7 linked regions of the Neurospora crassa OR74A genome follow. The protein of the gene in region 2 interacts with the protein of the main gene of each other region in a biochemical or structural test. Links are inferred from orthologs where the notes say so. Each region holds a gene or a part of one and is shown on either strand. Other genes may lie near its edges. The genes, in order: hH1, cdc28, NCU03137, NCU05239, NCU10155, NCU09063 and NCU02776.

Region 1 (3,527 bases), on a different chromosome or scaffold from region 2:
GTTTTGGGTGTTTTGCCGGCAAAAAAAAAGTCGGGGCATCAAATTTGTAAACAAACCTGGAACAGGGGAGCGAGCGAGGAGCGAGCCGCCCACAACCTAACCATAGTCGCGTTCCCGCCCACCGGCCGGATCCCCGTTGTTGTGCTCGTCCCAGCCAACTCTTAGTTCGCTTCTTGCTTTTCAATCCTTTTTCACCGCACCCCACAAAACTTAGATAATTTGTTGCAATATGATCAAAAAAAAAAAAAAGTGTTTGCGAATTTCGTTCGTCGTAGCAATAGGGTATCCCTCGTGATATATTTCAGATACAATGAAGCGATTGAAGCCGCCTTCTCGCCTCTGGACTCAGCATCACTACCAGACCGCCAGATCATCGCTTCAAGGTCCTTCGCTCCAAACTTCGTATTCATCAAACCAAATTCTCGGCTTTTTCAGAACTACACTGCGAAATCGTCAGGTAGCCATGTCAAACTAAAAGGGCAAAGCGCTTGCTCAGGGTATTTGAAGAAGAAAAAGTGGTATCGTTCCAAGACGGATTATATATGCAATGCAGTATCCAAGATAAGGCTTTTTGGTGTATGTCCTTCGCTTCTTGAGACACCCTCGAAGCCGCCGGTCGCCCGTTTCCCATTTCCCAATCATCCATAGGTTGTAGCCCAAACCTACCCTCCGTTGCGTTTCAGCACAAACGATCCAAACCTCCTCAATCCCCATGAGTGATGTGTGAATCCAAGATACATGAAAGCCAGAAACAAGAAGCTACCCCCCGCGCGCGCTGTGGCGATGTTGTGAAAAAGAGCAAAACGCGTTGACTTGTAGACCAATGAAAACCCCCCCTTATGTTGATAAGTGTTCCCAAGCAATATGATTCCCCAAACGCCTTTCGAGTAAGCCCGTCACATCGCAAGTGGTGGTGAAAAAATGACTAAAGACATCATGAGAAGAGACCGAGGCGCAAAAAAAGAGACAAAAACATCATCCCAAAGGAACGAGTTTATGCCTTCTCGGCAGCGGGCTCGGCCTTCTCGGCCTTCTTGCTGGCGGCAGCCTTCTTGGGAGCAGCGGCCTTCTTGGCGGCAGCAGGCTTAGCGGTGCTCTTGGCGACACGGCCAGACTTGGTCTTGGTGAGGACGGTCTCCTTGTCGGCAACGGCAGGAGCAGCGGCCTTCTTCTTGGGGGCAGCCGCCTTCTTCTCCTTGACCTCCTTCTTGGGAGCAGCAGCCTTCTTGGGGGCAGCCGCCTTCTTGGCAGCAGGAGCCTTCTTCTCCTTGGTCTCCTTCTTGGCGGCACCCTCCTTCTTAGCGGCAGCGGGCTTCTTCTCCTTGGTCTCCTTCTTGGGAGCAGCCTTCTTGGGAGCAGGCTTAGCGACCTTCTTGGCAAGCTTGGTGCCACCGGAAGGACCTATATCGTGTGTGAGCATGCAAAGAGTAATACAAGGAGATGATGCGTCATGTGGGTGGTGACATACCCTTGGGCTGCTCAAAGACACCCTTGTCGACACCGTTCTTCAAGGCCTTGTTGAAGAGCGAGTCGAACATGTTGTCGGTGACGTTGCCGAGCGTGTTGTTGGCACGGACATACTTCTTGAGAGCTTGACGGCTGTGGTGTGCGTTAGCAACATGTTGTGATCCTTCATCGCGTCATGGAAATAAGAATGAAAGTGGTCATCGGTGCGACCGTAGGAAGGGCCCGCAAGGTTTGCGGTGTGGCTTGGCAAAGCCCTGGTGAAAAAATGAGAAAAGTAAGCAGAAAAATGGCACATACCTAGATCCAGCGCGGTCCTTGAGCTGTAGCATGACAAAAAGAAGGAATCAGCACGACTGAGGGACAGTAAAAGGGTGGTGAGTGGTGTGGGTGACTCTTGGTTGCGTGCATCATGAGAGCAATTGTCTCATTTTGCTCACCGACCAGAGAAGCGCCCACAACCAAAACACGCCACAACAAAGATAATGAGGGGGTTTAAATACCGCAACAATAGCGTCCGTGATCATGTCCTGTTTGAATGTTAGCAAAAGATGCGTTTCTCTTGGGGATTAAGTAAAGCTTACAAGGTAAGAGGCATGGGTGCTGGGGCTCTTGGTCTTGGGAGCAGAGGTGGGAGCAGCGGCGGGAGCAGGAGCGGCGGCGGCAGAGGCATCGGCGGCCTTGGTCTCGGTCTTCTTGGGAGGCATGGTGATGGATGTGGTTGTGGTTTTAGGGCTGGAGGCTGAGGATATCTTGCTGAAGATACAACTGGATGAAAGGGGCGTGCAAAAGGTTCAGTTGAGGTTGGATCGTGGACTGGGAAACAAAGGACGAGAGGAGGATGGGTGGGCTCAGTCGCGCTCGAGGGGGGAAGATTGGGTGTTTATATACGGAGGCGGGGTCTCCTGGCGCGACCGAGTGATTTCGCTGATTCTTCCCTGCCCCTGCCCCGACGGACCTCCCGTCTCCCCCTGCGACCTGGGGGGGGGGGCCTCTGTGACCTCCTGGAAGCCGCTACCCCCAGCCCATTTCCCGGGGATATGTGGCCCGTGCACCCCACTAACACACGCTGAAAGAACGAAAGAAGCCGGCCAGTGGCCCCGATTCCTGTTCCCTCGTTCCATGTCAACACGATGTGGAAGCTGGGGCTCCGGACCTTTTCCTTTTCGCTTGTCTCATGAAGGAAGGGGAAGAGACCTCGAGAGCATCGATGCTTCGTTGTGTGGTTGTCGATGAGATTTCCCGTCCCTACAGTAGGTACCTATCCTCTCGGTCGCCATCCCCATCCCCTTCTCCTTCCCCTTCCCCCTCCTCCCTCTCCCTCTCCCCCCCCCTCCCCTTGTCTTCCCGTTTCCATGGACTCGGCTGGAGATGCAGTGGTGCTGTCCCATGTCCCATCGATCCCACTTGTTCTTCTTTTTTTTTTTCCCTTTCCCTTTTCCTCTTCCGTTTCTCCTCTTTTTAGAAACCGATTGGGGTCCAGGGGAGTGCGGATGCCGATGGATGTCCATTCCAGATGGAGTCTGGTCCGGACAGATTGGATGATCCAAGGTGGGACACGGCATCATTCACTGGCCCCAAAAGAAGCATGTTCTGCCGCCCGTCACCTCTCCTCGTCGACTCGCAGGTTATCAGTGTGCCTGTGTGTGTGAGGTGGCATGGCATGTCGCATATCGGTCGGTCGGTCGGCATGGCTGGCTGGCTGGCTGGGTTGGCACAATCGAAGCCGCAGGGCATCAATCCATCCATCCCGCATCCCATCTCTCAGATTCAGTCGGTATCTCGCCCATCCCATCATCTTCTATTTATCTATTTATCTCTCTTCTTCAACAAGAAAGCAACGTCAACCAACAGGATGAATCATTGCATGGCTACACTACCTCATGCTTCCGACGACTCGACAGCAATTTGTTACTCACCATTGTTTCACTCAAGCCCCGGATGGCTGCCCGATTGCTTATTTATCAACAACAGATCCCAATGGATCATGATACATAGCAGATGCGGACCTGCTTTTAAAAAGTCGACTCCGAGTCGCTTAGACTGCTACTGACCTTGCAAAT
Region 2 (4,072 bases):
ATCTGTCTTGTTGAGTGGTTCCCAATCCACTGACGTGATGCTCTTTTGATAGCTGAAATGTTGGGAGCCAACCGCTTGGTACAGGCTTGAGTGAGCTAGGCTTTTCTGAAAGCATTCTTCATTAGCGCTGTCAGCATGACGATGTCTGCAGTCCCATGTGCTGAGGTACCATTTGCTCAGTCTGATAAAAGCGAATGCCTACAATGTTGGGGGACATGTAATGCGGTGGTGTGAGCGCTTGTCGGAAAGAAAGACAGCCAAGAAGGCAACATGAGAAATCGATCAATGGCAACATAAATCCGAGCAGGGAGAAAGAAATGGAGCACATCAAAGATGAAGGAACAGCCGACATCACTTCGCATCTCCAAACGAAGGACCTGTGTTTGGACAGGGGAAAGTATGTACATGCGAGATTTATTGGAACAATGTCTTGCGCCTTTTCCCTGCCTGTGTACAGTACACTTCACACCACAACTCCCTAATATGCACCAGGGCTAACAGAAAGCCCCATCCCTTGAATGCCATTTGCTCTTCCAGATAACACCGAATCGTGTAATACAGAACTCCATTCCAATGTACTTCCTTTACCCATGACCCCTTTGAACGCTGTTCCCTAAAAACACAACCCTACATACAACAAAATGTAGGTATGGGGAATTTGATGTGTCGAATATCATGTTTCCGAGTATCCTGAAAGCAAAGTGGGATGCTATGATATGCTTCAGGTGTGATAATGACAGTTTGTTTCTGTCACCGTTTCGGTGTGTCGACCTCACTCGCTACTGGTAGAATCACAAAGACTGTACCCTTGCCACGAACTGCCCACTTTGAAGTCACCGAGATCCAACCGAACCTAAGCAGCCGGCTGCAAAACTTGGATAGTCGATCTGCTATTGCCTAACGCTCCTGCTTCGACCTTGGCGAACGTCCCTAGGCGTATCTGCTGCTGTCGCGGTATTTGCTCTTTGGCTTGGGGTTGTAGTCTTCAAAGTAAGGGTGATTGCACGCTGCCTTGGCAGAGATTCGGCCAGCAGGGTCGTAGACAAGCATGGATTCAAGTAGCTCAAGACCGACATCGTCGAGGTTTTGGCAAAGTGGTACGTTGTAGTCGCGTACCCACTTGGGGAAAGATGCCTTGAAGTCGGGATAGGAGGTGACGCCGGGCCAGATGTCCTCAGTAGGGGTTCCAAGCAGACTGTTTGGAGGAAAAGAGGTCAGTATAGCGGACTAGGGGAGAAGCAGAAAGGTGCCAAGAAAAGGTAACTGCATAAACGTACCGGAAGATCTTGAAGATCTCGTCAATTTCCGAATCACCAGGGAACAAGGGCTTGCGTGTGCACATTTCGGCAAAGATGCAACCAACGGACCACATATCGACACCGGTCGAGTACTGACGACCACCCAGCAGGATTTCGGGCGCACGGTACCACAATGTGACGACCTCGTGGGTATAAGTACGGAGTGGAACACCAAAGGCGCGGGCGAGACCGAAATCTGCTAGCTTCAAGTTGCCGTCGCGGTCGATGAGCAGGTTCTGGGGCTTGAGATCGCGGTGTAGGACACGGTGGCTGTGGCAGTATCGGACGCCCTCGCAAAGCTGGCTCATGAACTTCTTGATGATATCCTCGCCCAGTCCCAAATTGTGCAGTCCGGCGCCCGTTCCTTCGGGGAGGGCCTTGCCCCTACCACCGTCGCTGACAGGAAGGGCCTCCATGTACTTCTTCAGATCAAGATCGAGGAATTCGAAGACAAGATACAGCTTATGGCCTTGACCGCCGTCGGCGTGGACAATGTTGAGGAGACGCACAATGTTGGGGTCGCGCATCTCCTTGAGCAGCGAGATCTCACGGATGGCGGTAGAGGGGACGCCCTCATCTTCGGCTTCGAGGCGGATCTTCTTGAGGGCGACAATGCGCCCGCTGTTAGCCAAGTCGCGGGCCTTGTAGACGACACCATACGTTCCTATGCGGAAGGTGGAATGTCAGTACGGGACATGGAAGGAAGAGAGCCAAGGTGGAGGGGTCGAAGAAGAAGGGGGTGTTGTACCCTCGCCAATCTTTTCCAGCTTCTGATAGTTCTCCATGGTTGCTCTGTTACCCGTCCAGGCCGCTATACTGAGATGGGTGGTTTGAAAGTCCCTGGAGGGAAAGAATTGACTTTGCCCGGAGTCGTAGAACTACTAGTTGGGGTTGGTGCCTGGTGTTCGTGGTCGTCGTGGTGGGGGACGATTACGACGAACGATGTTGTACCTAGCGCGCTGAAGCACAGTGATTGATGGAAAAGCCCAGAACGAAGCGTGGGGCGGCGGCGGCGGCGGCGGCGGATGGAGAAAGTGACGGCCGTCGAAGGGTCGCCTTCTTGAGATTGATTGATCCTTGGAGAGTCAAGGTCCAGCCAAGGATAGGTGGTGTCCAAAGGGAGCGCAGTGGCGGATTGGTAAACAAAAACGAAAAAAGGTGGAATCGTCCGTCGTTGCCGTCAAAAGGCTACAGTACTAGCTACCGTAAATACTTTGTTTTGGTGTTGACTTTTGGTGGTGATGATGGTGCCGTGAATGGTCGACGGGTCGTCCTGGGCGGAGGGCTGAATGCGAAAGGCCGCTGATGAAAAGGCAATATGATGCAGCGAGCGATGTAATTGTCGTCCGTTGTTCCTGCAACTTCTTGATACTAAGGGACCGTGATGGTGAAGGGACAGAAATCCAAGGAAGGAGAGGCGGTGGACGTGCAAGTGGAAGTTGAGGTTGTGAAGTTGTGGTTGTCGTTCGAGTGTCGGATTTAGAGGGCAGTCCAGGGGGGTGGTCCGCTGTACTGTAGTGCAGTAGGTAGGTTTTATTCCAGACGGGCATCCGAGTGCAGGTGGTTGGAGACGGGACGATTACGTCTTAGACTTGGCGCTTGCAACGGAAATCCGTGTCAACACAAAAAGCGCGGACCGCGACGGCACCATGGAAACCACTCACTGGAGGGACGGACTGCAAGGGAGGAATGAACGCGTCCAAAAAATGCCCGCTTTCCTCGTCGGTAGGTACTCCGAGTTCAAGGTAGGTAGGTAAACTTTCAAGCAATCTAGGTACATATGTACCACCTCTACCTAGTTCTAGTAAGTACTACTACTTGGAGCATTGACTGTACCCGACAGCCCACCAAGATGGGGCAGAATACGTAGGTACCTTCTAGGTAGCCACGATCTCTAACTGTTGACTACCCCTGACTTGTGGCGCCATTCAGAAGCTCCAGCCATTCAGACGCCCAGCCCAGCCTCAGCTCGACGCCCACACATCAATCCATCTCGACCATCCGTCCCGTCTGAAGCTTCACTCGAGTCCCCACAATTTCATCTCACGATACTTCCCTACTCCAAATCCGCAACGTCACACGAGGACTCGGAAGGAGTCAACTTGTATACTCATATCCATTTCTTCGGTCACTTTTCTGTTCTCTTTTTGGATATCTCGCTCAAAAGAACTACCCGACTTTCAAGATGATGGGTGGACACCATGACCTGGATGCGCACGAGCAGCCGTCGGATGAGCTGCGGCTCAAGTGGAAGTCGTTCGCCAAAGTCGACCAGAAAATCGTCATGAACAGCCCCGAGATCGATGACTTGCGCAGTCCCGAAAAAGCCCCCGAGTTTGTGCTCGCTGGCTCCATTCCTACCGAGACTTTGAACAGGTCCTTCAGCTATATCTGCCCCGAAGACTCACCAGAGTTCCGCACAGACAAGGACGCCCCCATCTATTACCATCCTCTCTTGCCTGGTGAACTCAAGATCCTGGACCCCTCTTCCTCACGAATCATTGCTGACCAACCCCAAAAGGTCTCTTGATTCTCCCAAACCTCATTCCCCCCGAGGTCCAAAAGACGCTACTGCGCAACATCATTCACCGCGATCTCAACCAACCCCATCACCAGACCAACATGCATCTCCATTTCAAGCTCCCCTACCCGCCCGTGGATCCCGAAACAGGCCTTCAGGAATCCTTCTTCTCCTACCCTCCAGATTCCGAGACGTGTTTTGAGCCAAAGGACCCTTCTGTACACAAGCCTCTCACTTTTCAACAAGTCTTCAA
Region 3 (4,102 bases), on a different chromosome or scaffold from region 2:
ATCATAATCCCCATCCTCACTTGCCACGCTTCCTTCCTCGTAATCATCCACCGAGTTTCTCGAGATGTAGCTGTCCACAAGACCGTCGCCAACTTCTTCCTCGTCATCCTCCTCGTACTCACTTTCATGATCATCGACAACAGCCGGAGCAGATGTCTTTCGGCCACCGCTGCGCTCGTCCTCGGTGTCACTGGCAGAGAACTCGTCAAGATCCAAAGGCTGGTCTCGCCAATACTTGAAATCCGTATAATCCTCGCCACCGCCTTTGATGAGCGTGGTGACAGGTGGGAAGTAATGGTCGACAACCTCGGTCATGTTGACGTAACTCAGCTTGAGTTTGTTGAGACTCAGCAAATCGAGTGACACCTCTGCATTAGAGTTGATGGTGAAGATACGGTTACGGGGCACGTCGACCGTGCGATACGAGATTTGGTCCGTGAAACGGTTGCCGAACCCGGCGTAAAACGGTGTGCGATCGGGCCCGTAGAGGTTGCGGATGTCACGAAGCGTGGACATCTTGAAGATATGTGGTTTGCGGAGATAGATCTCGCGACGGAGAGCCGCCATGGTTCGGTCGGGTGAGAGAATGGTAGGTCCGCGTGGGAGACGGTACCCGTCTTGAACGATACCTGCGAGGTAAGTTCGTGTAGTGTCGGCCTGGCCGACAGACCGACTCGTCAGATACATTATGTTGTACCCGTTGGCTACAATATCAGTATACAGCTTGGCTACACCAGCATGCGTCCAGTCGCGCCCGATCATGTTCAGCACGTGGCCAAGCGCATCAGACTTTGTAATGGTTCCATCAATATCCGAGATGACCACGGGTACCTCGTGCTTCCATAAAAACATGTAAGCCTGGCAGGTAGCTTTGTTCACGGTGAAGCTCATTGAGTTCTCGCCGGGCTTCAGATTCAAGGCCTTCAACTGGTCGCTAGTCAACCTCAAGGTCTTTGCGTAGTTCCGATTGGGATCGCCCGCTGCCGAACTGCCGGGAGAGCTTGGGGGTGTCTGCAGGGTCATCTGGCCGACATCAGAGTCAGCTCTCCTGTGGATCGGTAGAGTCGTGGCGGCTGAGGTATCGCTAGCATCGCTCTGATACCCAGGGTCAGAAGCCGCATCAATGTTGCCCATGTGAGATGCAGAGCGTAGGGGGTCCATCGTCCTCTTCATGGCGGCCTCCTTCGCCTCGATGCTGCTGTAGATCCAAAGGTTTCCATGCTCGTCAACGCCAAAAAGTGCGCCGATGTCGTAGTTGCCATCAAGCTCCTCCGTGAGAATCTTGCGCGCAAGGATCTCAGCCCGGAAGGCGTCTTCCTCATTGTTTTTGAACGCAGTCATATCTAACATGAGGTCTCCGGTCTCGCTGATGTGGTTAGGGATATTGGCGGCGGCGAGCTCTCGGGAGAGGTTCATTGCCCTTTGAAGAGCTTCGGGTGCTGTAAGCGGCGGCGGGCTGCGGGATCTTTCGGTGTGGCTATCGCCTTCTTCTGAACCTTCGTGGGTGCTGCCATCGCTTGGCATTCTTCGCGCTGACTGCCGCAGAAGGCCATCGCTATGTGGGCGAAACGGAGACCATTCACCCTTGATAGGATCTGGTGATACGGAACGAGGTGTGAGCAACCCTTATAACCCATGCTTGTCAGTATATGTCGATCATGGCGGCGTGGAAGCTGGACACAGCGCTTACCGTCTCGTGCTAGTAGAGCAGTGGGAGGAGGCCTGTGGTTGAAGCTCGAAGAACGGGTTTTGCCTTCTACCGAGTTCAGATCGAGTGATTCAGGTTCTTGTAGAGGCCCTGACTGGTCGGCATTGAGCGGGGGGCTAGAGGCGGGCGACACGATGGGCGACGTCTGCATGCTCTGAGGGATGGTGTCTGTAGTTTCGAAGACGAAGAAGGCCTCGCCTCCCTCGCCCAGCTTCATGGCATAGTCCTGCTTGACGCCATTGACCCTGAATTCGACCTTTTTTTCGGATGGGCGCAACAGCGAGAACTTGCCAAAACGCACGTGAAAGGGAGAGCATGCAAGGGTGCCATCTTCCTGCTCAACGACTATCACGTCGATGGCACCGCTGAGGGTCGCAGGGTTGATGGAGTTCCAGGCGGTAGAGACAGAGTCGCCGAGACTCCTGACGTACTGCATGGTAGGCAATCGCAACTCGTTCTGTCGTCGAGAAGGATGTGTCCCTCTTGATGGTCAAAGGGGAAAGGGAGGGGGTATTTGTTGGTTATGTCGGTATATGGGGGGGCAGTCAAATGGCAAGGCTACATGCGGTCTGGACGGTTATGTAATGTCGACCGCAATCTCGATTCTCGACTTCGAGTAGGCGACCGGTAGGCGACCGGTAGGGGTTCTCTAGTGTGTTGGGCGAGGTCGGGAAGGCCGGATGAACGCCCGATATGCGTAGGGAGATATTAGGCTCTGACCACCCGGCCTCAATTGCTCTGTCGTCTCGAATGGATGGTTACTCAACGTGGTGTGCGTGAGTGAATCCGACTCGTTCACTTCCCGTCTGGTGGTGCGAGTATGCCGGGAGAAAAGTATTGAGGAATGCGCCGTGTTGGGGGACTTTGCCCAGTGAATGCGGATCTGATGACGAACGTCTGCCGCGGTTCAAGCAGTGAAAGACAAGGAAGGTAGCAACCCAAGTGGGATGCTGGGCTTGGGGAGTGGATTGATTATGCGCAGTACGGTAAAACACTGTGTGAAAAGTCCGAAGGGGGCGTTCAAACCCTTTCTTCAGAATCATATGCTTCGAACTAAGGAACCAAAATCTGCACGACAATTGAAGAGCTCGTGTTGTAGAAACTTTGTGTTTTTTTGGGGCATGGCGAACGGATCGCGATCCGCCGAGTAGAACTAAAAGGGAAGGAACTAAGGAACCGGCTAGGTTGTTCGTTGTGCAGTCCAACCTATACTGGTACGAAAGTTAGCTCGAGACCTCGGGTCAACCTCCCCGTGGGTTTTCAAGCGGCGATTATGCTTCTTCCGAGCTAAATTACACCGTATTGAATTTTATGGATGCCGTTTGGATCTATATCCAGCCATTCATTTAGTCCTTAACAGGTTGGAGACATCTCGGAAGACATTTCATTCAGTGTTCTACGAGTGAGTGCCTAGGTACCAAGTTAACAACAAACCAGTAGAACTACCAGACAATACGTAGGTAGGTATCCACCTCTACATACCCGGTGAGGCGGAATGAGAAACGGGATCATCCCCAACGCCCAACCTTCCAGAATCACGAGGGCGGTTCCCTTCTCAACAATCAGATCTAATTCTGTCTTGATGAGTTCGGCCTCTTGTCAGGGCAGCAGACAGGCACAAGACTGCATTTGCACCGGCTGTTCCCCATCATCAACCCACGCGCACTTTACCGACTTGGTGCAAGTCTCTAGCGATACCCTGTAAGACGGCAATATAGTCATTTACCAGCCTGGTACCTCGGCGGTCTGCAACGAGCTAACACGGCTGGCCAATCCAACCGCACAAATTGGTGTCATAAGCGGTCACGGGGATGTTTGTTATGCTGGACTACCAGGTACCCTTCAAGTTCCCCTGATGTCCTGCTGACTGACACTGACACCGCGAGTTTGAAAATGGAACTTTTTCGTATTCTCACCTTGTCAGTCTCGTTTGACTGACGTTTATTAAGTGATCCAACGAGCCGTCAACAAGCGGTTGTCGTTGTGAAAAAAAAAAGAAGCAGTCGCTCGCTGAGTGTCCATTGTCTGTTCCCGGCGGTATTGCAGCCGTCTACTCTGAAGGTAGCTGGGTTGAGATATGCCGTGAACGTCAACTCTCGCTGTGTATCCCGGGTTTCTATCGGCTTACGGGTACACCTGGTGACACCAAACTGTGCCCAAGGGGCGAGACAAGATACATACACTATCTACAAAGGTGCGAGGCCTCTGGGGATACCACGGCTTATCCAGCGCCTTTTTTCTTCATCCCGCATACAGTACAAGGCAGAGCCTTACCCCAGCTGCCTGGAAGACGTGTAGTACCGTAAGGGGTTATGGACGGCAATCTTAGCCTGAGCGTATTGCCCGGTGCTGAGGATCAGTACGTCCTCAGTCCTTGGGGGTCGGTGGTGATAT
Region 4 (2,761 bases), on a different chromosome or scaffold from region 2:
ACCCCATCTACAAGTCATATATGTTATTCTACACTACTCATGACAGACAGACGCACAACCTTGACCAACTAGGCTACCTAACCCCCAGTCCATCCACTTCCTCCCCGCCACACGTATCGCAGCGCAGTCATTTCGGTCCCGCCAGTCTGTGAATAGTAACTAGAACAGAATAGAATATCGGCACCTCTAGAGCACAACGGAAAGTTCTTTCCACGAACGATCAGTTCCTGATTCTCCAAGTTCAGTGAAAGTGGACGTGAACTAGAACCGACTACAATAGGGACAAGGAAGCAAGGGAGACAACCAACACCCACCCAACTTTGTCATCAACTTTCGGCCGGTACTTCTCTCTATGTATGTATATGTATGTACCTACCCAACACATCTCTCTCTCTTAACACAACACAACCATATATACATACATACATACATATATACGTACATAGTAAAGAAAGGACCGAAGTAACCTACCTAACCATTGACAGTTATTGTATGTAATCCTCAAAATTATACCAAACAATTGGTGGTGGTGGTGGTAGTAGTAATGGTATCAATCAAAATCATTTGGTATCCTTAGTAGGTAGCTAGCCAGCTGAGCCCTATATATCCATCCCAAACAAACAAACAAACAAACAAACAATCCATACAATAATGTGGTATCATCAACTCAGTGAAAGAAAAAAAAAAAAAAACCAGTACTATATCCATCAAAAAGGCCGCCAGCCCTTTCCATATCCCTTAGTCCCAAATGATCCCCACCCACCCATCCGTAAAAGGTAGGTAAGTAAGTAAGTAAGTAAGTAAGTAAAAGAAGAATCTCGTAACGTCGTGAGATGTCGTCGTAAGAAAAGAAGAAGAAGAGGAACAAAAAAAGAAGAAAAAAACGAACTCGCTCGCTCGCTTGCTGCTTGCTGCTTGCTGCTCGCTGCCTGCCTGACCACAACGTAATCACAGCAGCAGGCATGAAAATCATGAAAAACAACAGAATCGAATCCCAAACAAACAAGACATCACCGCCTCGCCAACCCCCTCGCCCGATCCCCCAACCCCTCAAACTTGCCCTTCACATCCGCATCCCCCCACTTCTCCTTAATCCACCTAAACCCTTTCATATTCAACCTCAGCCTGACCCTGCCCTCCACGAGAGCACTCACCAGATTAATCGCCGCAAACGTCGTCGACCCCAACGCTCTAAACAGCGCCAGGGCCGCCACCGCCCACAGGATAAACCGCAAGTAAAAATTATCCCCAATTTCCGAATCGCCATACGCTTCCGAGACCGCCATGGCCAGCGTCGCGTTGGCCACCATCCACGACACCACCATGTACGTGCGCACCGACTTGTAGTAATCCTGCTGCAGCTGGTCCTCGGACACGGGAACGGCAGGGACCATGACGCGATCGCGGAGATTACGTAGACATTCGTCGTATCCCGAGTCGATGTCGAGTTGGTCCGAAGGCATTTCCAGTTCGACGGTGCTTCCCTTGCCAATGGCGCCTCCGAGATCGGTGCGCATCACGTTGTCGCCTTTGGTGCCCCATGTGACGTCGTGGGTGTTGCAAAAGGCGTAGATCTGGAGCGTGCAGATGTAGGAAGGCAGCAGGACAAAGTACTGGATGGCCGAGGTGAACATGTGCCAGGGGTCGAGATAGAGAAAGGACATGACGAAGTAGAGCCCGAGGGTACTAGCCACGGAGACGATCAGGTTGGTGAAGACGTTGTTGCCGAGTTCGAGGTCGGGCTTGTCGTCGGATTTTTGAGAGGGTTGGATTTGTCGCACGACGATGAAGATGGTGGCGAAGGTGGTGTACACCATGATGACGGCGTAGATGATCATGGATGCGAGATACATTCTTTTGGCACCCTGCGGACGGTTGCCGAGGGACAAGATGAATTGTGTGCAGATCAGCAGGACGCAGACGTAGCGGAGGATGTTGAAGATGATGCGCGCGACGTGGCCGTCCGAGTTAAAAGGGTCGACGTGGGGATCGGCGAGACCGCCGGCGATAAAGTAGAAGGCGAGGTAGAAGTTGGCCAGGGAGAAGTAGGTGAAGAGGAGTTGCAGGAGGTGGTAGAGGAATTCGACGTGGAGAAGGGCTTTGCGCATAAAGGTGTGGTCGGTTTTCCAGATTTGTCGAAAGTGGACGAGGGAGTAGACGGCGGCGAAGAAGGCACCGTTGAGCCAACGACGACGTTGCGAGACGAATTCCGGGACGGTGTCTACAACTCGTTAGTATAACTTATCACACAGCAAAAAAGGGGGGCAACTCACCAGGCACATCCGTCTCACCCGTACACCCCTTCACATACTTCAACACCCACCTCTCACCCCTCTTGGCCACCAACTCCCAACACAGAATTCGGTCCTCGGCCAAGTACATGTTCGCCGTAAACACATCCGCGTGCTGCCCATGGAGCGTCTCGCCCTTGAAATACTGACTCAACGGCCCATGGCCCGTCTCATCGTTCTGCAGCGCATGGTACCGATACGCCGACAAGGCGCCCGGCAACACCGTGATGTACCCAAACACCGACTCCAACGGTTTGTCCAGAATATTGCTCATCTTGTACTCAAAGTTCTGACTAGCCACCAGAGGGTTGAGCAAATTCCCGCCAAACCGCCCCTTCATCGCTTTGATTTCCCCGCAGGCCCCCGCCACGTTGGAATCCGTGTCGAAGGCTTTCCAGAGATGGTAGAGACTTGTGCCGCCGGGGCGGGTGCCGACGTCTAGGAGGATACACACATTCGGGTTCAAGGCT
Region 5 (3,995 bases), on a different chromosome or scaffold from region 2:
AAGGCAGATTTTTCTCCAGACAATCAAACATTTCACTCGAAATGTGCAAAACTCAGAATGTACACTCCCTAACCCTCCCTCCACCCGTCCCCGTCCCTCCCACTCCCGGTAACTCATACTCAACCCACCGTGCCGCCCCCTTCCTCCCCGGCACTAATATGCTCCCCGGATTCATCACGTGGCACCCCTCATACGTCACGCAAAACGGCGGAGCGGTAGTATCCACCAGTACCATGGCCGTCGGCAGCGGGTAGAGGTACATGGCGGAAGTATAGTCCCAATGTACCGGGCGGATAGCTTGCCGGAAAGGAGCGAGATAGCCTTGGTCGAGAATGGTTTTCACTAGCTTGCGGGCGGCGAGGACGTCGTAGGGTATGGAAGATGGAGGAGGCATGGTAGTCTTTTGGTTAGGGGCAGGGGCAGAATCGACATCCATGGCGTCGGTCATGGTTGTGTCGGCCATGTCTTCGTCGTCAGCATCGGGGGCGTCGGGGAGGGAGGAGGGTGGACATTGGTTATCCATTGCCGAGTCGTCGTTACCATTGGTTGGGGGTTCCGGCTCGACGGAGGCTTTGCTCGTGTTCTTAAGACGGACAGAAGCTCGTCGTAACCGGGCGGAGATGTCATCTCGGAAAAGAACCATTTCGTGACTAGGCCCGAAAAGGGTTATCCTACTTGGGTTGGTTGTCCAGACAGCTTCGCCGCCTCTCCTCTTGCCTGCATCCTTTTCTGTTTCTTTGCCAGGGTTGGCTAGCCCGGCTTCAGCATTCGCTGCTGCGAATACCCTCCTGATGCGGGAAGTAAACAGATCTGGGACGGGTTTCCTCGGCAAAGGAGTTGCCGCACCACCTGAGAAGGCAGACACCCACCCGTCGTTGTCACCTGGCACAAAAACAAAGGTAGCCGTCGTGAGCAGACTAGGGAAATCCGCCAGTGTCGATGCCAACGCATCGAAAAACTCCTTGTACTCAATACTCCCCCCACTCCCGCCCCTCGCCATGACAGCATGCTGCGTGAAGTTACCCGCCAGCACAAACGTCATGGGTGTACACCCTTCAGGATCACTAGCATAGAGACCCAAGATTTTTCTCAGTGCCTGCAAACTCCTCGGCTGATCTAGGTTTAGTTCGCCAATAATCACTGCCCTACCCCTCGACGGCCTGCCATCCTCCAACAGCGCTGGTTGCCGAAGAATTCTGTGCTCCAACTTGCGCATTTTGGACCCGACTGCCCTCTCGCTACCTACGCCCAGGAAGTCGATCCAGCCGAATCCGCCGCCAATGGTATGATCAGCGCCGGTGCCGTCGGGCCCACTAACCCCGAGCGTAACGCGGCGCTTTTCGCATGGTGGCTGGCCGATGAAGAAACCTTGGAACCGGCCGCCGATGGTACCGCCCACACCGCTGCTACCACTGAGACCGTTGCCCATGGTCATGGTTTCCTCCTCCTCTTCGTAGACGCCGTCGATGAGAACAATCATTCCCGGCGTAAACCAGGCAGAATCTTCAGGGATGGCGACAGCGTGAGAGAGGTCGAGAGTAATGGTGCCCGTCAGGTCGCTGATGGCAAGAGAGCCAGTGGGAAGGACAACAAGCATGCCCAGCAGCATGTGGTTGCTGCCATGGCGGCCGAGCAGGTTGGCGATTGGGGTAATCTTGTGGGAGGAGAGGCCGTTGGCGTTGGTTCGTTGGCGCAAGCTGGAGCCTTGGACGGAGGAGGATTGAAAGGCTTCGTTGCGAAGGATGCGCTGATGAATAACGTTGTAGCGGTTGCGGAAGGCATCGGTTTTGTGAGAGGCGGCTGGTAGTAGGGAGGGTTTGGAAGGATCCCTACAAAGGTTAGCTGTGTAACCTATGTAAAGAGGGTAATAAATAATAAGGGACCATACCTCTCAAAATGCTTCTTTCCAACATTATACATCAACCGTGGTTGATCGAAAGCATGTATAACCTTCAGCCACCTCCTAACATCTCTCACCGAATCGTCTTCCGGCTCTTCTGTGAACTCCAACCCAGACATGCCAAAGCTGGCGTTGCTGTCCTCCCGGGTTAATGATGGCACGGGCCGAAGTCCGAGTCGACTATGCGCATGTTGTTCGTCTTGGTCGGGCTCTAGCAAGAGACTGTTTTGTCTGCTCAAGCTTCGTGGCCCGGTCAGGATCTTTCCTCCGCTCATGTTTCCCTCGAGGGTCTTGAGAATGTCCTTGAGCTCGGGGCTGTTGCCTTCCACGATGACGCCGCCATTGCGGTTCTTCCAACTCCTTGCTACCTCTTCTAGCACCTTTTCGGCCAGGCCTTCTTCCCTCCATCCTGAGCCACAGTGTCTACCGATAAAGGTTGCGAGCTCTTGTAGGGCAGTTGATGTAAGTGTTAGGCTGTGTTTCTTGGTAAACGTTCGGAAGGCGAGCGGTCGTAGTGTCGCCGGCGGAAGGATGATGGGCAGGATTGCGGCTTTTGTGAGGACTGGGGGTTGGAACGGCTTCAGTGGATGTACTGGAGTAGCGAAGGCGGGCGAGGACGAGGGTATCGGGTTGGATGGGCCCGCTGGGGTCTTGGGCGCAAAGAAGCCGGCGGCGGCTGCTGCTTGTGGCTGCGGTCGAGATGGTCTGTCTTGGGCGTTTGTCTGGCCGGTTTTCGTCCGCTTTTGGCGGGGACTTTGAACGATCATTGTGTCTGTGGTCTGGATAGCTCGACTAAACTTGCAATTTAGTATAGTCGGTTACAATTGGCCGTCTACCAGTCTGTTCGTGGTGGTGATATCCGTCATTGTCACTGTCTGGAAGACGCGTAAATTGAGAAACGAAGCAGGGGACCAGACGCGTTCTAGTGGGGCTCACCCCAGATTTCAGCCAATACGGGCTCCACAATGTCAGAAACAGGGGCATCAAGGGCCACCTACCCTGGTTGCCGCCGGCAGCGCTAGAGAGGTACCTACAGCAGGTACCTACGCTACAAGTAGACGCACGAACAGCACCAGAGTGACATCAACTAACTTTTGACGCCATCACCAACCTTTTCATTCTCGATATCAGATTCAATACAGCCAGTCATGATGCTTACTACAAGATTTCGTGTAGTTCCTACGCTACGAAGCGCAGTCAGGTCATTCACGACCTTGCCGTCCAACCCAAACATTGCAAGTCATCCATCCACCTCTCCACCAACAACCCCACCCGCACTTACACCACAACCCCCATCCTCACCACATCACCACACAACAACTCAAACACCATACTAACACCCATCACCACAGAAAGTCTTTCCCCACCCAAACGACCCAAAAAGCTACATCCTCTCCCTCCTCCCCACGACCCCTCCCCCACCCACCCTCTCCATCGGCACCACCACCGCCCTACCCCCAACTCCCCAGTCCTTCACCACCAACCCCCACTTTCTTTCCATCCTCAACTCCGTCCTCGCCGAACACGCCTACTCCGACCCCGGTCTTCAATCACAAGCCCAAGCCTTTGCTTCCCCAGCCGGTTTCTCCTTCCTTCCTCGTCCTGGCTCGAGAAAGGTAGGCAAAAAGGGCAGCGACACGGGCGCCGGCGGGGCGTCAGCGGAGGGAGGCGCGGGAGGCGCGGGCAGGGGAGGATGGGTGCACTTGAGTGATGAGAGGACGCCAGTGGATTTCGGAAGGATTGCGTGGCCCGAGGATATCTTTGGGAGCGTGGAGGTGGATGGGCAGGGAAAGATGATCGAGGGGACGTTCCAGGGGAGTGGGACTTATCGGGTTGTTACGAATCAGGGCATGTGAGTATTTTTACTTTGGTGAGGTGAGGTGAGGTGGGTTGACGTGGTTGCTAACTGTTGGGATTGGTTACAGCTTGGGACTAAGTCCGTTTTTGATGGAGAGGTTGGTTGCGAGGTTCAAGGAGGAGGAGGCGAAAGAGAAGCAGAAAGCTTGAGAGGAGATGTTTGGGGTTTGAAGGATGTGGGTGGTGAGAGCGGATGTACAATAGGTGAGCGGTCCGTTTGATGTGTCGCTACACTTCA
Region 6 (4,044 bases), on a different chromosome or scaffold from region 2:
CGGTTTTGTGTGGCGGACAAGCTCGACCGCGCCTCGTCAGCCTTTTGGCGGGCATTCGAAAGCTGTTGCCGGTACTTGGGTTCCTCCTCCGCAAGCTTGGAAAGTTCAGCCTCGATCTTCTTGCCCTCCTTGATCAGGTTCGCTCTCTCAGCTTTGCACTGCTCCATCTCCTCCGCCTTCGCCGCTTGCCTTTCCTGGATGGCCACAATTTTCGTCTCCATCTCCTCAAGGGCCACAGTTCCGGCATTGGCCTTTTCCCTGAGAATGGCCAGCTCACTCTCCGCAACGGCAATGGCGGACTGTTTCTGATTGATCTTGTCCTTCCAAGGCTCGAGAGACTTTTGCTTTGCCGCGATCTGATCCGAGTACTTTTGCGTCTTGCCCTTGAGGCTCTCACGTATCGTCGCAAGCTCGGCCTCCTCTTCCTTGACCTTCTTCTCCAGGAAAACAATGTCCTTTTGACGACGCTCAATCTCCTTGGTGCAGTTCTGAATGGTCTCCTCCGCTTCAACAGCCGTCTTCTCGGCGTTAGCGATCGTCTTCTCAAGCTTCTTACGCTTGTCCGTCAAGAACTTCCGCTTCTCCTCGAATTTGACGCGTTCCTGCTCGAACTTGTTCATCTCCTTGACCAGCTGCTGTGTCTGCTTCTCCCAAGAGTCGTATTCCTTGCTACCCTTGGAGTAGGCCTTTTCCAACTGCTTGATGAGCTGTTCGCTGCCGTGGTGCTTCTCAAGCTCAGCGTCAAGTTGTGCCTGCATCTGACCGATAGCCTCCTCTGTGACAGCAATATTGTCGTCGCATTCGCTGATGTATAGCTGGTAGAGAGCCGACTGTTTCAGCGCCAGTTCGTTTTCATCGCGAACATACGCCAGCGCCTTGTTCTTCTTGTCCTCGAGACTGTTCCTTTCCTTTTCCACGTGCTGGACACGACCACTCTTCTCCATGCAGATCTCGTTGAGGGTTTCGACTTCGGTGGCCGACTCTTCAATTGGTGTCTTGTATTTGGAAGTGCCAATAATGTCTTCTAGGTACTCCAACAGACCATCTTCGTGCTCGTTGCCGGCTTTGGGCTTCATCTGGGCAATCGATTCGACTTCGCCCTGGAGAATGAGAAAACGCTTGTGATCCAGATCGACACCACGGTCGCGGAGTAGCGTGGTCACGGTGGTAAAATTGGATGATTTGCCGTTGATGTAGTACTGGCTCGAGTTGTTCTTGAATGCTTTGCGCGAGATGACGAGTGTTGAGTCGGGGATAACCTCGTGGCCACCGCCGGGCTATCAATGTCAGCACAATGACTCCCCTTCAAAACAATGTTTGACTTACCAAGTCCATGACTTCCTGGAAATGCACTTCCACCTCACAGTAGTCGAGATTCGGAAACTGCGCCGAATTGTGAATCAAGGCCGAGATCTTGCCTTGTCGCATCTTGCTGGCACGGAAACCAAAGACGAACAGCAACGAGTCGATGACGTTGGATTTGCCAGAACCGTTGGGACCCACGACCGAAGAGAACGAAGCATGGAAGGGGCCGACCTCCTGTCTACCGGCGTAACTCTTGAAGTTGATGAGCACAAGATTGGTGATGACAATGCGTGGCTTCGGGCCGGTATCCTCGACGACGGGAAGAGCCATGGTCCGTGACTTGAGCACAATATCCATGGGCTTTTCCAGAATAGTATCCATAGCCCTGACGGGCTTCTGGGCCGCCACGACGGTTTCATCTGCTGTTGATGTTGGCTGTGTGTTGACAAGGGTCTCTGATGCCGCGGTCGCTGGAGGTGGTAGGTTGATGAGGGTCTGGGTGATGTCCTGTAGAGGAGCAGGTTGGCGATCGACGCGTTGAGTTGACGGAGAGCCTGGCGTTGGTGTCCCTTGACGGCTGGCTTGTTGCTGTTGCAGCTCGAGTTGTTGCTGCATGATCTTTGCTGGCGATCTGCTGAGGCGCCGCACAAGAGTTCTACGCTTCCGCGGGGGTGACTGAATTTCTTGCGTATCCCGTGCTTCTGGCTCCGCGATCACGGCGGTTGTAGCGGGCGAAACGGCAGACGCGACAGTCACATTGGGGTCGATACCCTCCTCGATCGGCTCATCCTTTGGCTTGACGGCAGGCGCTGGGGCTTCGGGTTCGGCTTGGGGATCGTTATTCGCTTCGACACTCGGTTCGACACTGGGCTCTTTGCTGGGTTTGGGCGCGGCATTCTTCTTAGGTCGTCCGCGCCTTTTCGGCGCAGCTTTTGGTGCCGGTGCCGGTGCAGTTGATGATGATGCTGCTGCTGGTGTTCCTGCCCTAGGAGCGGGCGTGGCAGTGGATCTTCTGGTGGTTCGCTGAGCAGTCTTGCGGGCTGCCGAAGCTGGCGCGGGTGTATAATCGTCCTCCTCGTCGTCATCTTGGGCGCCTCTCGATGTGGTGTTTGCGATATCGTCGTCTGATGAGGATTCTTCGATGATGGCGGCGCGCCTGGTTGCGGCGGCCCGACGCGATGGGCGCGTCGACATGACTGATGTCTGTCGGTGGTTTCGGCCTGCAAATTCTCGACTCGATGATGAAAACAACAGAACAGAATGGAACAGAAAGCGCTGCAAGATGCGGGTATCAGACAACCAAGGAGTGAAAGTTTATGTAATAACAAGTAAAGATGAAAAATGGTATTCACATTTCGCAGGGCAGTTGTTGCGACAGACACGGAATGGGACGCCCACGCAGAAACTCTTTGAGTGCTGTCGCAGCTTCTTCCTTGCCCCGCCGCGGTTAGATTGTTGACATTCAGGGCAGTTTTTGGACGGACGCTTCTTGCAATACCGTGACTGCGGTGGTAAACAATCAGCCACAGCAGCCACGGGCAGCCAATGCAATTCGTGCACTGCAGCGGGCGACCCCTCCGCTGCCTGGAACGCTCGCACCGTGTTGCGCTATCACTGCATGCGTGGCAGGCTGGTGGAGTCCCGCTCTGTGTAACAAACATTCCATGCGCTTACGGCTTTCTTACCTTATCGATAAGCCAAGACAGGCCGTTACCTAGCGCAGGTACAGATCCGGGGAAGGCTCCATTCCAGGTGCAGGGGATGGACCTGACGGACCCGATGGCCGTTGCATACATGTATCCCAGGCCATGACGGCACTCATCCATCCCTTCGATTTTCCCTTTTCCCTTTCCATTCAATTCATTCAACAGCTAAGGACACTTGGGCACTTCAACTGTGCAATCCAACTTCAACATCACGATGCTCGACTATACAGAATACAACAACGTGTTCCCCTCTCCGGGATTCATAAACCCCTACGATCACAAGGGAGCCAGTGCCATTGAGACTTTCCGCAAATCATTGGGCGGCGTCCTGTTTGTGGATCGCGTCCTAAGTCGGTTAGGCATCGCCCAAGGTTAGTGTAGTGTAAACACCACACTACCACCTAATCACCCTAACAACCCATGCCCTGTCGTTATAGCGCGCTTCATCGCTAATCACCACTGTAACTACCTCTAGGCACTGCATATCCGCCCAGAGGTGAGAACGGCTTGCGCTCCCTCCACCAACAAATCTGCCAGAGCAGCGCCTCGTCGATCCAAAAGATATCCGTTCTTTACTATCTCCTCCTCGACCATGATGACGTCCATCCAGGTCGTTCGCATTGGGCGGACAGCTTTGCTGAGGAGACGGGACTGCCGAAAAAGTACCAGATCCTTATGAGGGGCCTGTGGCACATGGATCGCATGGAGTTCAAGGTGCGGACGTCCGTTTGGTTCTGGAACCTAAGTTGCACACTGGACATCAAGACGCTAACAAACGCTGCTAAACAGTACGCAATCGAAAACCTAACCCACCCATCCCTCCCCACCGAATTCGCCGACGAAATCACCATCGCCCTTGTCCGCCATCCGCTCGTCAACAAGCGCAGCTCCACCAGTCAGAGCGATTACACGCTAGCTCTCGCCTACTTCCACGCCGCCCAGCCCGTCTTTACTTCATCCGAGGCTCTCGAGCTGCTCTTTGGCGCTCTTGCTCGTACTAACGTCACCGAAGCACTCGATTTCTCGCGTCGCT
Region 7 (4,206 bases), on a different chromosome or scaffold from region 2:
GGTTCCTGAGCTGTTCACATCTACCTTTACCTATCTAATAAGACCGGAAGGGACGGATGGATGGATGGATGGATGGATGGATGGATGGATGGATGGATGGATGGATGGATGGATGTCAAAAAGTGGTTTTTGTAAAGTGTCTTCATTTTTTGGTGTGTATCAATGTGTGTCTGTCTATGTACGTACGACGGCAGGTCTATGTAATGGATAGGTACTAATGCCGATGATGAGGACTTTTGTGCCCCTGCTCCCCATTTTTGTCTTCAATGCAAACAAGTACGCAAAACCAAACAAATACCCAAACGCCAAACACCAACCCTTGTCCTGGGTTACAACGAATCCAAACACCTTCCCTATGATATACTTTTGAATGCTCTCTCAAACACGCCATGCCATGCTCCGTCCGTACTTCTCAACAATGCTTCCTTCTCCAACAACGCAAAACAACCTACTCATGAAACCCGACTCGTCCAAATCATCAGCAACTTTGCAATACTATCCCAAACACAATCAATCAATCATCCAACGCCTCTCCACTCAAGATCCCCCTCAAAATCCCCACTCCCGCCCCATCATCCTTCAGCAAAGTCTGCTCGACCTCCCTCTCCCCCACACAGCTAGCCACCCTCTTCTCATCTCCCGCCACCAACGCGCCTCCCATCCCAAACACATCCTTCTTCTTCTTGCCTCCCCGCTTCGGTGTCCCCACTCCAGGCGAGCTATACCCCAAGGCAGTAAACGATCCCGTCTTGCCGTCCACTGGCGTGATCAAACTGAGAGTTTCCAAGGAAGACACCACCTCGCGAAACTCAGATGACGAAAGCGGATGAAGCAGCGAGTCCTGTTTGCAGAGCTTGGTGTAAGCTTCAAAGAGAGTCTTGACTGTCGGGGCAATTGGCGCCTCTTGTTTCCTCGACGGAGTGCCGGTAGTGGATGCAAAACTGGCTGAAGCAGAGTTAAGAGCCTCCGACTGCGCGGCGCGGTTACGTTTCTCGATGGCGACCAGAGCGCACAGAGCGGCTTTCTGCTGGAGGTTGAGCGTCTTGAGACGCTGAGTGGTGCCGTTGCTGAATGCTGCGGCTGTGACTTTGCTGAGGTCGGCGATGCTGACGCGCGGAGCGGTGGCGGGCGTCAAGGCTTGCAGAGATTTGAGTAAAGAGGCCGAGACGCTGGCGCTGGGTCCAGTGGAGATGCTCCGGAAGAGAGAGGAAGGCGCAGGAGCCGAGGAGAGGTTGGTGTTTTCGCCTAGGACGCGCTTCTTGGAGGGAGACATTTGTAGCATCTGCTCCTTGACTTCGTTTTCGTGCTTCAGACGGGTCTCCGACTCGACCAGGTCGATGGCGCGGCGGCAGATCTCGAAGGCGCGGCGCAGGTCGCCGGTTTGGCTGGAGACTTTGCGCGAGCAGAGCTCGATGGCGGCTGGGTGGAAGAAGGGTATGTAGTTGGGGTCCTTGGGTGTTCCACCAGGAAGCAGGCTCTTGAGACGTGTGATGATGATGTTCTTGACCTGAGGCGCCGTGTATGGAAGGATGGGCAGAAGCTCAGGCTTGAGGTTGCGCGACTTGAGGCGCGGCAGGAAACGGTCGGTGAGGTCGAGCGCGTTGGCAATGCCGATCAGGGCGAGGCGCGAGTTCTTCTTTTCGAGTGACCATTCGAAGAGGCTGTAGAGACTTTCAGGGTCGAGGGTGAGGATGTGGTCGATTTCGTCCAACACCACGAGGAAGACGTCCTGGGTCTTTTTCCTGGGCAGGATGAGCTTTTGGAGAGCTGCCACCACGTCGCTTTCGGTTGAGAGTTCCTCCTTGTCTTCATCTTTGCTGACTAGCTGGTCGAGAAGGGTGACGTAGAGATCCTTGGACGACTTGATGCTCATGCAGTTGATGTAAGCCTTGCGCACTGTTGATGTCTCGGATGCGAACTTGTCGGTGACCTTGTTGACGATGGCGCTCTTTCCGGTTCCAGGAGGTCCGCTGACGTAGAGGCAGCCGCTGGGATGGGCAGTGGTGCAGCAATCCAGGAAAGTGTTGAGCTTCTCGCGCTCGTCGTCGCGTCCAATGAGCTCTCCAGGATCGGCGCTTCGAGAAAAGAGTTGGCGAGCTTGATGGTAGACTGTCTGAGAAGCGGCGGGTGTCATGGGCGTGCTTGGTGTCATGCGCCTGGAGAGCTTGCCAACGGACATGACGCGATGGCGCGGAGTGGTGACTGGTACTCTTGCAAAGACATCGTAGTGTCGTGGTGTGGAAGGTGTGACGGGAGCTGTCTTTGGCGGGCTGGCGATGACTGATTTGCGCCTTCTGAGAAGTGACTTGGCTGGTGTTTCGGCCTCCTTTCTGTCCTCGTCCTCGTCTCCTGTGGGCTTGCGGTTTTCCTTGTGGTTCTCAACGTCCTCGTCGGCAGTTGGCTTGGGTGGTGAGGCGGCCTTCTCCTTCTCTGCTTGGATGTGGTCGGGCTCATGGTGGATCTCTGGGTGGATTCGGAGAGAGCGTCTTGTTCGCTTTACGGCAAGAGGGCCTAGTGTGATTTCCTCGTCTTGTGGTCTGTCAGTATGTCGATGGCAACTCTTGAATGTCGTTGTCAGTTGCAGCTGCTCACCTGTGAGTCTGGTGCTCCTTCTCCTCTTTCCCAGAGTCGTGGGTGCGCTAGGTGAGGCCATGATTTTTTGTCAAGTCTAAAACACCAGTCGCAATGCACAATCACAATGACAAGCGGCAATCGCGTGGAAAGAACGATGCGCGGATGTTGATGGTGGTGATGGACTTGCGTGGTTGTGTGGTTGTAAGGTGGAAAGAGGAACCTTGCGCACTCAGTCCCAGTCGCACTGCACCAAAGTAGAATTCCAGTTCGCGCGCTGCCACCCCTGGCACATTCCACTTCCACATTGCGGAGACGCGACCGCGAATTTGTGGGGCTGCAGCTCGGTGCTCGACGCGGCTTCCCCGCTGCACTGCGCGTTTCAATTAAGCCCCGTTGCGCATGAGCCACACAGACTGTGGCTAGGGAGGGTTCGTTTCGTGGCGCGTGCCTTGTGTCAAAGCGGGGCCTCTTCCAGATCCGTATCCACTTCCCCGCACTATTCTCACAGTGTCCACAGGGGCATTCCAGGGGAGCCCTCCACTGAAGCAGGGAGACCGCCGCCTGTGTTTCACTTTGCTGTGCTGGAAAGTGGCGATCTCCGTCCCGTTGGACCTCCCGAATCGGTACGTATAAGAAAACTAAACCTCCAATACCCGACGCCACTACCGTAGGTGCCTTTGCTTGTGTTTATCGACAAGTATCATGACCACAAGTGGCAATGACAAGTCATCCACCTCAGTGTCTGTTCAGATGTCCATGTCGATAGCCCAGAGATCTCACAGAAATATCAAACTCGGTTGACCGGTTGTCATTTAATGGACTTGGTGATACTTGATTGTTCTCCAAGATGGGTTCGTTAAACATACAGCACAATGGCTACGATGCCGACGTGGAAAAGATAAGAGAAGAAGAGTATCCTATGCTGAAGGGCAAGTTGAAGTTCGTTTTCAACAACTTGACCAGACCACTAACACAAAACAAACAGACTCCATCTACCTCGACCATGCCGGCACCACCCCCTATCCCAAGTCCCTCATGGACCGTTTCGCCCAAGAGATGACCACCAACCTCTTTGGCAACCCCCACTCCGCCTCAGCTTCCTCCCAACTGTCAACCCAGCGCATCCAAGACATCCGTCTCCGAGCCCTGCAGTTCTTCAACGCCGACCCAGCCGACTTTGACCTCGTCTTTGTCGCCAACGCCACAGCCGGGATCAAGCTGGTTGTCGAAGCCATGAGATGTCTGCCCACGGGCTTTGACTATGTCTACCATCAATCCAGCCATACCAGCTTGGTAGGAGTTCGGGAAGAGGCTAGAAGTAGTGTTTGTCTGGACACTCGGCAGGTGGAAGACTGGTTATCTGGGAGCTGTCCCTTTGACGACAACGAAGACGAAGAACGACCGATACTCTTCGCCTACCCAGCCCAATCCAACATGGACGGCCGTCGCTTTCCCCTTTCTTGGTCTTCCCAGATCTGTCGGCAGAGTTTATCGCCAACCAACAAACGAAAGACCTACACCCTCCTAGACGCCGCCGCTCTCGTTTCATCTTCCCCCTTGGACTTGTCCAACGCCGAAACAGCACCCGATTTTGTCGTCCTCTCTTTTTACAAAATCTTTGGGTTTCCCGAT

What was found.
Region 1: of the proteins of cdc28 (region 2) and hH1, one has a biochemical effect on the other in vitro, tested with the Saccharomyces cerevisiae proteins (8 studies listed by BioGRID, with this or other methods). The link is inferred for Neurospora crassa OR74A from reciprocal best matches to the Saccharomyces cerevisiae genes CDC28 and HHO1.
Region 3: of the proteins of cdc28 (region 2) and NCU03137, one has a biochemical effect on the other in vitro, tested with the Saccharomyces cerevisiae proteins (2 studies listed by BioGRID). The link is inferred for Neurospora crassa OR74A from reciprocal best matches to the Saccharomyces cerevisiae genes CDC28 and PAH1.
Region 4: of the proteins of cdc28 (region 2) and NCU05239, one has a biochemical effect on the other in vitro, tested with the Saccharomyces cerevisiae proteins (2 studies listed by BioGRID). The link is inferred for Neurospora crassa OR74A from reciprocal best matches to the Saccharomyces cerevisiae genes CDC28 and CHS2.
Region 5: of the proteins of cdc28 (region 2) and NCU10155, one has a biochemical effect on the other in vitro, tested with the Saccharomyces cerevisiae proteins (2 studies listed by BioGRID). The link is inferred for Neurospora crassa OR74A from reciprocal best matches to the Saccharomyces cerevisiae genes CDC28 and DPB2.
Region 6: of the proteins of cdc28 (region 2) and NCU09063, one has a biochemical effect on the other in vitro, tested with the Saccharomyces cerevisiae proteins (3 studies listed by BioGRID). The link is inferred for Neurospora crassa OR74A from reciprocal best matches to the Saccharomyces cerevisiae genes CDC28 and SMC4.
Region 7: of the proteins of cdc28 (region 2) and NCU02776, one has a biochemical effect on the other in vitro, tested with the Saccharomyces cerevisiae proteins (8 studies listed by BioGRID, with this or other methods). The link is inferred for Neurospora crassa OR74A from reciprocal best matches to the Saccharomyces cerevisiae genes CDC28 and CDC6.

Annotation. Positions count from the first base shown.
Region 1 is NC_026507.1:545,801-549,327, forward strand, and holds hH1 (histone H1), read right to left. Parts: upstream 2,367-3,527; 5' UTR 2,172-2,366; coding exon 2,049-2,171; intron 1,995-2,048; coding exon 1,968-1,994; exon of another isoform or gene 1,797-1,967; coding exon of another isoform or gene 1,788-1,796; coding exon 1,765-1,787; intron 1,600-1,764; coding exon 1,469-1,599; intron 1,402-1,468; coding exon 995-1,401; 3' UTR 501-994; downstream 1-500.
Region 2 is NC_026506.1:1,088,741-1,092,812, forward strand, and holds cdc28 (cell division control protein 2), read right to left. Parts: upstream 2,801-4,072; 5' UTR 2,084-2,800; coding exon 2,047-2,083; intron 1,963-2,046; coding exon 1,278-1,962; intron 1,196-1,277; coding exon 931-1,195; 3' UTR 345-930; downstream 1-344. Other genes in the region: NCU09779 (oxidoreductase), read left to right, coding at 3,484-3,760, 3,820-4,072. UniProt on the Saccharomyces cerevisiae protein: Cyclin-dependent kinase that acts as a master regulator of the mitotic and meiotic cell cycles. Required to drive the G1-S transition. More than 200 substrates have been identified. Substrate specificity is in part regulated by the bound cyclin protein.
Region 3 is NC_026501.1:4,687,487-4,691,588, reverse strand, and holds the start of NCU03137 (nuclear elongation and deformation protein 1), read right to left. Parts: upstream 2,801-4,102; 5' UTR 2,145-2,800; coding exon 1,691-2,144; intron 1,626-1,690; coding exon 1-1,625. UniProt on the Saccharomyces cerevisiae protein: Mg(2+)-dependent phosphatidate (PA) phosphatase which catalyzes the dephosphorylation of PA to yield diacylglycerol. Required for de novo lipid synthesis and formation of lipid droplets.
Region 4 is NC_026504.1:5,644,111-5,646,871, forward strand, and holds the end of NCU05239 (chitin synthase A), read right to left. Parts: coding exon 2,274-2,761; intron 2,222-2,273; coding exon 1,011-2,221; 3' UTR 501-1,010; downstream 1-500.
Region 5 is NC_026505.1:1,592,515-1,596,509, reverse strand, and holds the start of NCU10155 (DNA polymerase epsilon subunit B), read right to left. Parts: upstream 2,801-3,995; 5' UTR 2,668-2,800; coding exon 1,889-2,667; intron 1,830-1,888; coding exon 53-1,829; 3' UTR 1-52. Other genes in the region: NCU04588 (hypothetical protein), read left to right, coding at 3,049-3,135, 3,253-3,752, 3,826-3,907. UniProt on the Saccharomyces cerevisiae protein: As accessory component of the DNA polymerase epsilon complex participates in chromosomal DNA replication.
Region 6 is NC_026507.1:495,314-499,357, reverse strand, and holds the start of NCU09063 (nuclear condensin complex subunit Smc4), read right to left. Parts: upstream 2,801-4,044; 5' UTR 2,500-2,800; coding exon 1,327-2,499; intron 1,278-1,326; coding exon 1-1,277. Other genes in the region: NCU09062 (hypothetical protein), read left to right, coding at 3,226-3,382, 3,487-3,725, 3,801-4,044. UniProt on the Saccharomyces cerevisiae protein: Central component of the condensin complex, a complex required for conversion of interphase chromatin into mitotic-like condense chromosomes.
Region 7 is NC_026501.1:9,228,405-9,232,610, reverse strand, and holds NCU02776 (cell division control protein Cdc6), read right to left. Parts: upstream 2,801-4,206; 5' UTR 2,654-2,800; coding exon 2,593-2,653; intron 2,530-2,592; coding exon 515-2,529; 3' UTR 124-514; downstream 1-123. Other genes in the region: NCU02777 (molybdenum cofactor sulfurase), read left to right, coding at 3,422-3,503, 3,560-4,206. UniProt on the Saccharomyces cerevisiae protein: Plays a crucial role in forming the pre-replicative complexes.